Sus scrofa: one gene and its partner. The protein of the gene in region 2 interacts with the protein of the main gene of each other region in a pairwise test. Links are inferred from orthologs where the notes say so. Each region holds a gene or a part of one and is shown on either strand. Other genes may lie near its edges.

Evidence for each region. The genes of interacting proteins can lie anywhere in the genome.
Region 1: the proteins of EPM2AIP1 (region 2) and C6H1orf50 interact in binary tests that used the Homo sapiens proteins (3 or more experiments, as listed by UniProt). The two-hybrid records come from large-scale screens. The link is inferred for Sus scrofa from reciprocal best matches to the Homo sapiens genes EPM2AIP1 and C1orf50.

Annotation. Positions count from the first base shown.
Region 1 is NC_010448.4:168,661,580-168,665,079, reverse strand, and holds part of C6H1orf50 (uncharacterized protein C1orf50 homolog), read left to right. Parts: coding exon 1-87; intron 88-644; coding exon 645-776; intron 777-1,391; coding exon 1,392-1,592; 3' UTR 1,593-3,500.
Region 2 is NC_010455.5:21,876,614-21,880,662, reverse strand, and holds the start of EPM2AIP1 (EPM2A-interacting protein 1), read right to left. Parts: upstream 2,801-4,049; 5' UTR 2,518-2,800; coding exon 691-2,517; 3' UTR 1-690.

The DNA of each region.
Region 1 (3,500 bases), on a different chromosome or scaffold from region 2:
GCTGATGAATTTGTCCGAGCAAATGCCACCAACAAGCTGACAGTCATAGCTGAGCAAATAGAACATTTGCAAGAACAAGCCAGGAAGGTAAGTCTCGCTTTTAGGTAGGCTTTCATTTTCTTCATTTAGTTCCCAGGGTTGACTGAACTTGCGTATAATCATTGTAGCTTTTTCAGTACCTTCTAGAAATATAGAAGGGCTGAGTGAAATAGAATAAGCCCAAGAAGTTACGTGCAAGGGTTTTCACTGGGAGAAAGCTCAGTGAGGTAAAGCATTAAGAGGAAGAATGTTTGTTTGTTTGTTTTTTGTCTTTTTGCCTTTTCTAGGGCCTCTCCTGCAGCATATGGAGGTTCCCAGGCTAGGGGTCCAGTCGGAGCTGTAGCTGCCAGTCTGCGCCCGAGCCACAGCAACGCCAGATCTGAGCCACATCTGCGACCTACACCACAGCTCAAGGCAATGCCGGATCCCTAACCCACTGAGCAAGGCCAGGGATCGAACCCGTAACCTCATGGTTCCTAGTCGGGTTTGTTAACCAGTGCGCCACGATGGGAACTCCCTGTTTCCACATTTCGAGTGGGATGCTCATTGACGACGAGCGCCTGTGACTTCAAATACGTAATTGCTGACATCTCTGTGGTTCTCAGGTGTTGGAGGATGCCCGCAGAGATGCTGACCTGCACCATGTAGCTTGTAATATAGTGAAGAAACCTGGCAACATTTACTATCTTTATAAACGGGAGAGTGGTCAGAAGTATTTTTCCATTATTTCTCCAAAGGTAAGGGCAGTTCATTTTTGCACAGAAATCTCCTCTAGACTTTGAGAAATGCTCGGGTGTGTGGGGGTGTGTGTACAGGAAAATGTAGGCCTAGGGGTTAAGTGGTTTGCTAGAAAACTGGAGGTGCTGTGAGCCCAGACAGGACTCTAAAAAATATGCATGTACTTAAATCATTTCGCAGTCATTACCTCTGTTAAGGGGGCAATTTGGGAGCTCCAATCGTGGCTCAGTGGTAATGAACCTGACTAGTATCCATGAGGATGCAGGTTCTATCCCTGGCCTCGCTCAGTGGGTTAAGGATCCTGTGTTGCCGTGAGCTGTGGTATGGGTCGCAGATGTAGCTTGGCTCTGGTACTGCTGTGGCTGTGGTGGAGGGTGGCGGCCACAGCTCCAATTAGACCCCTCTCCTGGGAATGTCCATGTGCCGTGAGTGTGGCCCTAAAAAAGAAGAAAAAAAAGGGAGGGATCTGACGTGTGATGTAATGCTTTACAAGATTGATTCTGACTGGTCTGCCGTGAAAAAAGCCAAAAACGAAAATTGTGGTGCAGTTAGGGAATGAGCTCGGTTTCCTCACCTCCTGCCCTGCTCAGAACGGACTCCTTTGCCTCCTCCAGGAGTGGGGGACGAGTCGTCCTCACGACTTCCTGGGTGCCTTCAAGCTACAGCACGACTTGTCCTGGACTCCGTATGAGGACATCGAGAAGCAAGATGCTAAAGTCAGCATCGTGAACAAGTTGCTCAGCCAGCCCGCGGCGCTGCCTCCAAGCACAGAGCCCAGCTTTCAGGGGTTCATCTCCACCGGGAGCGGACCCTGACCAGCCCTGTCCCGGCAAGGACCTCTCACCTCCTTGTTGCCCGATCTCTGCCTTGACGTGGGGGTGGCGTGAGAATCACGGGCGTGTGGGTGACTCCGGAACTTGGGGAAGGTGGTCCTGAGCGAGTGTAAACGCTGTCACCACTGCTTTTAATCGAGATGGTAAAGCATCACGTCGTGTCTTCTGGGGTCCCCTCGGGGTCACAGGCGCCCAGCCAGCCAGTGTCGGAGGGCTGGCCCGTGCGCTGCCCTTCCCCTTGGTCTCCGTCTCTTCTCCCATAAGTTAGAGCGTTAGAGAAAGTGGGTTTCTTTTTCCTGCAAAAAGGTTGGTGCGTCGCTCTCTAGAGAGGACCGTTGTTAGTCTTTTTGTAACTGGAAGGCTCTGGATCGAGCTTGCGGGTGTTTGACAGTTGATGCCATCACTCCAGCTTCACATTCACCTGGGAGCCAGATACTGGGGGCTGGCGCATGATAAACAGCTTGGCCTGGCGAGCGAAAGAGGGTGTGATTCTGGCACTTCTGCACTGTGGGTAAGATTTGGCTTGTTCCGTCCTGCTCTTTCTGCTGAGCTGGGATGACCAGGTTTGAGGAGGGTCAGCCTCTAAACTCACAGAATTTAGACTTGGAAGGGGGGTGGGAGGCTGCCACTAACCGTGACATGAATCCACTGTCTAGCCTCTGTGAGCAGGAGGGCCAGTGTTCGGCCATCTGCAGCAGGAAGGATCCATTCAATGACAGCTTTAGAATGTTGTAGAGGAGAGAGTAGGACAGTGGGTGAGAACCAAGAAAAACAGCTAACTCGTTGATTATGAGTTAACTTAGATTGAAATTCATTTTGACCTGAATTTTTCAGGGATTAGCGGAGGCTGTTGGCTGAGCTCCTTTGGTTTTGACCGAGTTCTTGTGGGACTCGACCCCCTCACTGTCTGTCTGTTCAGTGCAGTTGACTAAGTTGACTAAGTTGACAACATGCTGTTCTTCTGTCAGTGCCATACAGTCTATCACAAGGTGCCATAAAAGGAGTGAGGGGAGTTCCTGCTGTGGCACAGTGGGTTAGTGGTCAGCTTGTCTCTGTGGGGGCACCAGTGCGATCCCCGGCCTGGCACAGTAGGTTGAGGATCGAGCATTGCTGTTCCCTGTGGCGTAGCGTGAAGCTCCAGCCAGGATTTGACCCATGGCCTGGGAACGTCCATACGCTGTGGGTACAGCTGGGAAAGGGAGATAAAAGTGGAGGGGTGTAGTGAGATCTGGACTGGAAATCACAATTGCCCGCATTCCTCTTTGGGGGTGAATGTCCTTTGTGCTGCTCTGCTTGGCGATAGCACAACCCCGTGATCTTGGAGGCCATGGCCTTTCTTTGTAAGCTTTGCTCCTTGTGAGCTGTAAAGGGTCTGCAAAGACCTGGCGTAGGTTGGTGCTAGGTCCTGACGAGGTCACACAGGTGATGCTTGGTCACTCTGTTCATAGGAGGAGGCTGTGTGGAGTCAGCTCCAAAAGCCTCTGGCTGCTCTGCTGCCGGAAGTGGGGGACACACACACTCTCTCTCTCTCTCTCTCTCTCTCTCTCTCTCTCTCTCTCTCTCTCTCTCTCTCTCTCTCTCTCTCTCCCTCCCCCCCCCCCTCCCTCTCTCCCCCACTAATGGTACAGTAGTTGATTCTAACCGCAGAAAGTTTCTCAGATTTTCAGAAGGTCCTGACTTGCGTGGTAATGACACATTTTGCGTAGGTGCTTTATTATTACCTACTGCTGCATTAGTTATCACAAACTCAGGGGCTTAAAACAACGCACATTTATTATTTCAGAATTTCTGGGTCAGGAGATGAGGCACACTTAACTGAGTCCTCTGCTTCAGGGTTTCTCACGAGGCTGAGGTCGAATCACGGGCCCGGCTTGTTTGTGCCTTTCTCAG
Region 2 (4,049 bases):
CTGAACCAACAATTTAAAAATAATTCTTGCTCCTCTGACTAAAATTTTAATTGATTATTTCCTCTATGAGTAATATCATTATCACTAGGGCAGGTGGGGGAGTGAGAGGGAGAAAATATGTCTGTATTTACTTCAGACTCAGAAATGTGTCTAAAAAAATAGTCTCAAACATTTTGATAGTTAGACAAAATACCTCCTCTGTATGTACGTTCTTCCTTTTCAGAAACTTCTGCACTTGTTAATGTGAGTTTCTGCAAACTGGCTCAAACATACATTTAAGGAGTTGATAATTTCAGACTATACGCATCAGAATCTCAACGCTTTGTTAAAATAAGAGCTAAAGTTTCTTTGAAACGTCTTAAAAACAGACTCCTAATTCAACTCACATGATTAATACTGAACTTTTTAAAAAACAATTATATCATAAAAGCAAAAGATAATGACTCTGCCACCAAGTTTTGAAAAAAGGTATCTGCATGTTTCAGTCTCATGCTGCCTCTTGAAAAGAGGAAAAAAAAATTGTCTGAAGCATTTGAATTGTGAAAAATGTCTGCGATGAAAGTTTTTTCACTTTGGGTGAAAAAACATGGTACTCTCCCACAATCCAAATTAGTAAAGTTGAAAATCAAACATATTTTTGCTTTTAGAGTTGGATTCTTGTTGAGTGTTTCGGTGTTGTACTACAAAAGCTTATGGATTCGATTCATTTCTTCCTCTCACAAGATCATCCCATTGAGGCTCTATTTCAGTGGTGGCAATCCGAAACAGGGCGTGGAGGTGTTCGTCTGTCAATGGGTGGCTCAAGGTGTGCTGGTTTCGAGTCAAATATGAAAAAGCCTTTTCACAAATCTTGCTACTATCAAACAAGGATGCTACCTTACAGGCAACCCCTTTGATAATTGGGTAAGATTCAGCAGACAGTCCGGCATAGAATTGCCCCAAGTCTTTGGTTCTGTATTCGTTCCAAAGATTAGTATTTGCCTGAAGTTTTGTTAGCTCCACCCTTACTGAAATAGGTGCATATTCAGCTTTAAAGCTAAATGGATTTGCAAAAAGCTCTAAGTCCTTTTTAATGAACTTGAGGTCCTTGAAATGTCTCTCAAATTCTTTTTGTAGGCGACAGATCACTACTTGATACCTTTCAGGATCAAGTATTTTTTCATCTTCTTGAAGATGCTCTTTAAGCTCATCAACAACTTCTCTCAAGGCGGCAAAGTGTGTTAGATTTTTTTCCTCGATATGTCTCTGAAGTAAATTCAGCTTAACTTCAAAGGTACAAATATGGTCAAAGGCAGCAGCAGCAAAGACTTTACTTACTCTCAATAGTTCGCTGAGTTCTCGAAGGTGGTCCATAATATCCACCAAAAAGCCAAAGTCACAAAGCCACTGCTTGTCTGTGAAATGGACCGTTGTTGCCCCTATTGAAACCAAAAATGTTTTTATCTCTTTTCTTAAAGAAAATATTAGTTTTAAGGTCTTCCCTCTTCTAAGCCAATTGTTCAGACAGCGTCCATTAACCCTTTCACCATGCTCTGATTCCGATTCAGTTAGTAAAGCCTGAAATTCTGGCCGCCTAACGCCTCTGGTCTTAATCAAAACTATCCATTCAGATATGGCATTTATGATCTGATTAACATCCACATCGTAGGAGCTCAACAGTTCCAAGTGAAGAAACCCCGAATAATGGATAACATTCCAACAGTTGGGGCTTACAGCCTTTTCTCTCATGTATGACACCAGCCCTGAGTTCTCACCAATCATCCTCAGAGTGTGGGTCGTGGTCAGTCCAACCATCCGCTGCAGGCTAAGCCCTGCAGTTTGCAGGGCCTCAAGGATTGCCGCCATGAGGGCACCAACACTGAAGTGCTGAGTCAGGTTGATGATGGTCAGAAGCTCTTCCTGCACCTCTAAATCGTGGCCCACGCCGCGGACAAAGACGAGGAGGTAGTTCTCATAGGCCACAAAAGCCTGGTCGTCCAACGCAAGGGAATAGGCCTTAAAGTCCTTGGCTCGGTTAAAAAGCTGACTGCGTAGATTCTGGTTAATGTCTAGGACCCTCTGCTGCGTGATCTCCGGAGATAAATCAATGCCATCCATAACGCCTACGTGATCAGGCAGCACATCTCTGAGCATCACCTCCATGCACCGGTACACGAAGTCCCCCTCACCCCAGCCGCGACCCTTCAAGGCCAAGAGGCGGGTGAGCCCGAGGCCTGCACGAGCAGCTCTCTCCTCCGGGGTGAGCGGGGCGGCATCGGGCAAGTCGCCCTGACGCAGACGCTCCACCAGGGCCGCGCGCTCGCCCTCCGCCACATACCGCTCGTAGTAATCGTGCTCCGCCTCGTAGTGGTGCCTGACATCGGGTTCGCCATTGGCTACGACCAGGCGGCGACAGACCAGGCACAGGGCGCCTTCGCCTTCCGGAGGCTCCACAACCAGGTAACGCTGAGTCCACTCGGCCTGGAAACCCCGAGGCTCCTCGATTTCCATTTTGCTCCTCTTGGGCGTCATCCACATCTCACGGGAGACCACTGGATCTGGGCCGACCTCCCGGAGGCCGCAAGGAGAGGGGAGGAGCAGGAGCGATCCCCAAGCGCCAACTCCGCTCTGCGCCAGATCACCCCAGCTGGGGAAACCACTGGGGTTCCGGCACCTTGATTCCTATTGGCTGGAGATTTCGTATTCCCCTGCCGCAAGCATGAGCCAATAGGAAGAGCGGACACTGATTTTTAGCGCGCAGGCGCATATCCTTCTCGCTGCAAAGTGCACTAAAGCCGCCTAAGGAGGGCTAAGAGAACAGGAATCATGGAGCTAAGAACTTGACTGGCATTCAAGATGCCCAATCAGTACCTCTCTGTCCCGGAAGTGGTGTTGCCGCTAGAGGGCGGGACGGGACGGCGTCAGCAGTGTTGCTGGAAGGATGTGGGTGCGAAGCTCTAAGGAGATTGGCTGAAAGCCCTTCCAGTGAGCGTCTCACCGTTACACGGCCTGCTCTGGCGCCAAAATGTCGCAGGTACCGGGAGTTATCCGGCGGTTGGACGAGACAGTGGTGAACCGCATCGCGGCAGGGGAGGTTATCCAGCGGCCGGCTAATGCCATTAAGGAGATGATTGAGAACTGGTACGAAGGGAGGAGTCCAGGCTTCCTTAGAACCTAACGGGCCACTGCTCAGGATGGCGCGGACACGCCTCTCTGCCCTGAGTGGAGGGGTGTGCCGCGCGCCGCCGCCGCGGGGAGGCCGGGGTCCTGCCTTCCTCTCTCCCGGGTCCTCGAGCGTCCCTTCGAGACTTTAGGGTTGATGGGGGCACAAAGAGAGGGCGATACAGTATTGTTTTAATGGTGCCATCAACTAAGAGAAATTCTAAAATTATATGTGCAGAAGATGCAACTTTTTAAACGTTTAAAAAGCTTTTTACATTTAAGAAGAAAAAACACCCCTCTCTTCATCCTTCAGAGGGCGTCAGTTTCTTGCTTATTCTGTATACATTCAGAAGTACAATTCCTTTTTAATTTTTTTTTTCTTCTCGGGCCGCTCCCGCGGCATATGGAGGTTCCCAGGCTTGGGGTCCAATCGGAGCTGTAGCTGCCGGCCTACGCCAGAGCCACAGCAACGCGGGATCTGAGCCGCGTCTGCTACCTACACCACAGGTAGGTAGCAGACGCGTCTGCTCACAACAACACCAGATCCTTAACCCACTGAGCAAGGCCAGGGATGGAACCCGCAACCTCATGGCTCCTAGTCGGTTTCGTCAACCCCTGAGCCACGATGGGAACTCCTGAATTTTATTTTATTTTATTTTATTTTTTAATTTTATTTATTTTATTTTATTTTTTTTACTTTATTTATTTTATTTTATTTTTTATTTTATTTTATTTTATTTTACTTTATTTTATTTATTTATTTTATTTTATTTAATTTTATTTTTTTATTTTATTTATTTTATTTTATTTATTTTATTTTATTTTTGCCATTTCTTGGGCCGCTCCCAGGGCATATGGAGATTCCCAGGCTAGGGGTCTAATGGGAGCTGTAGCTGCCGGCCTACGTG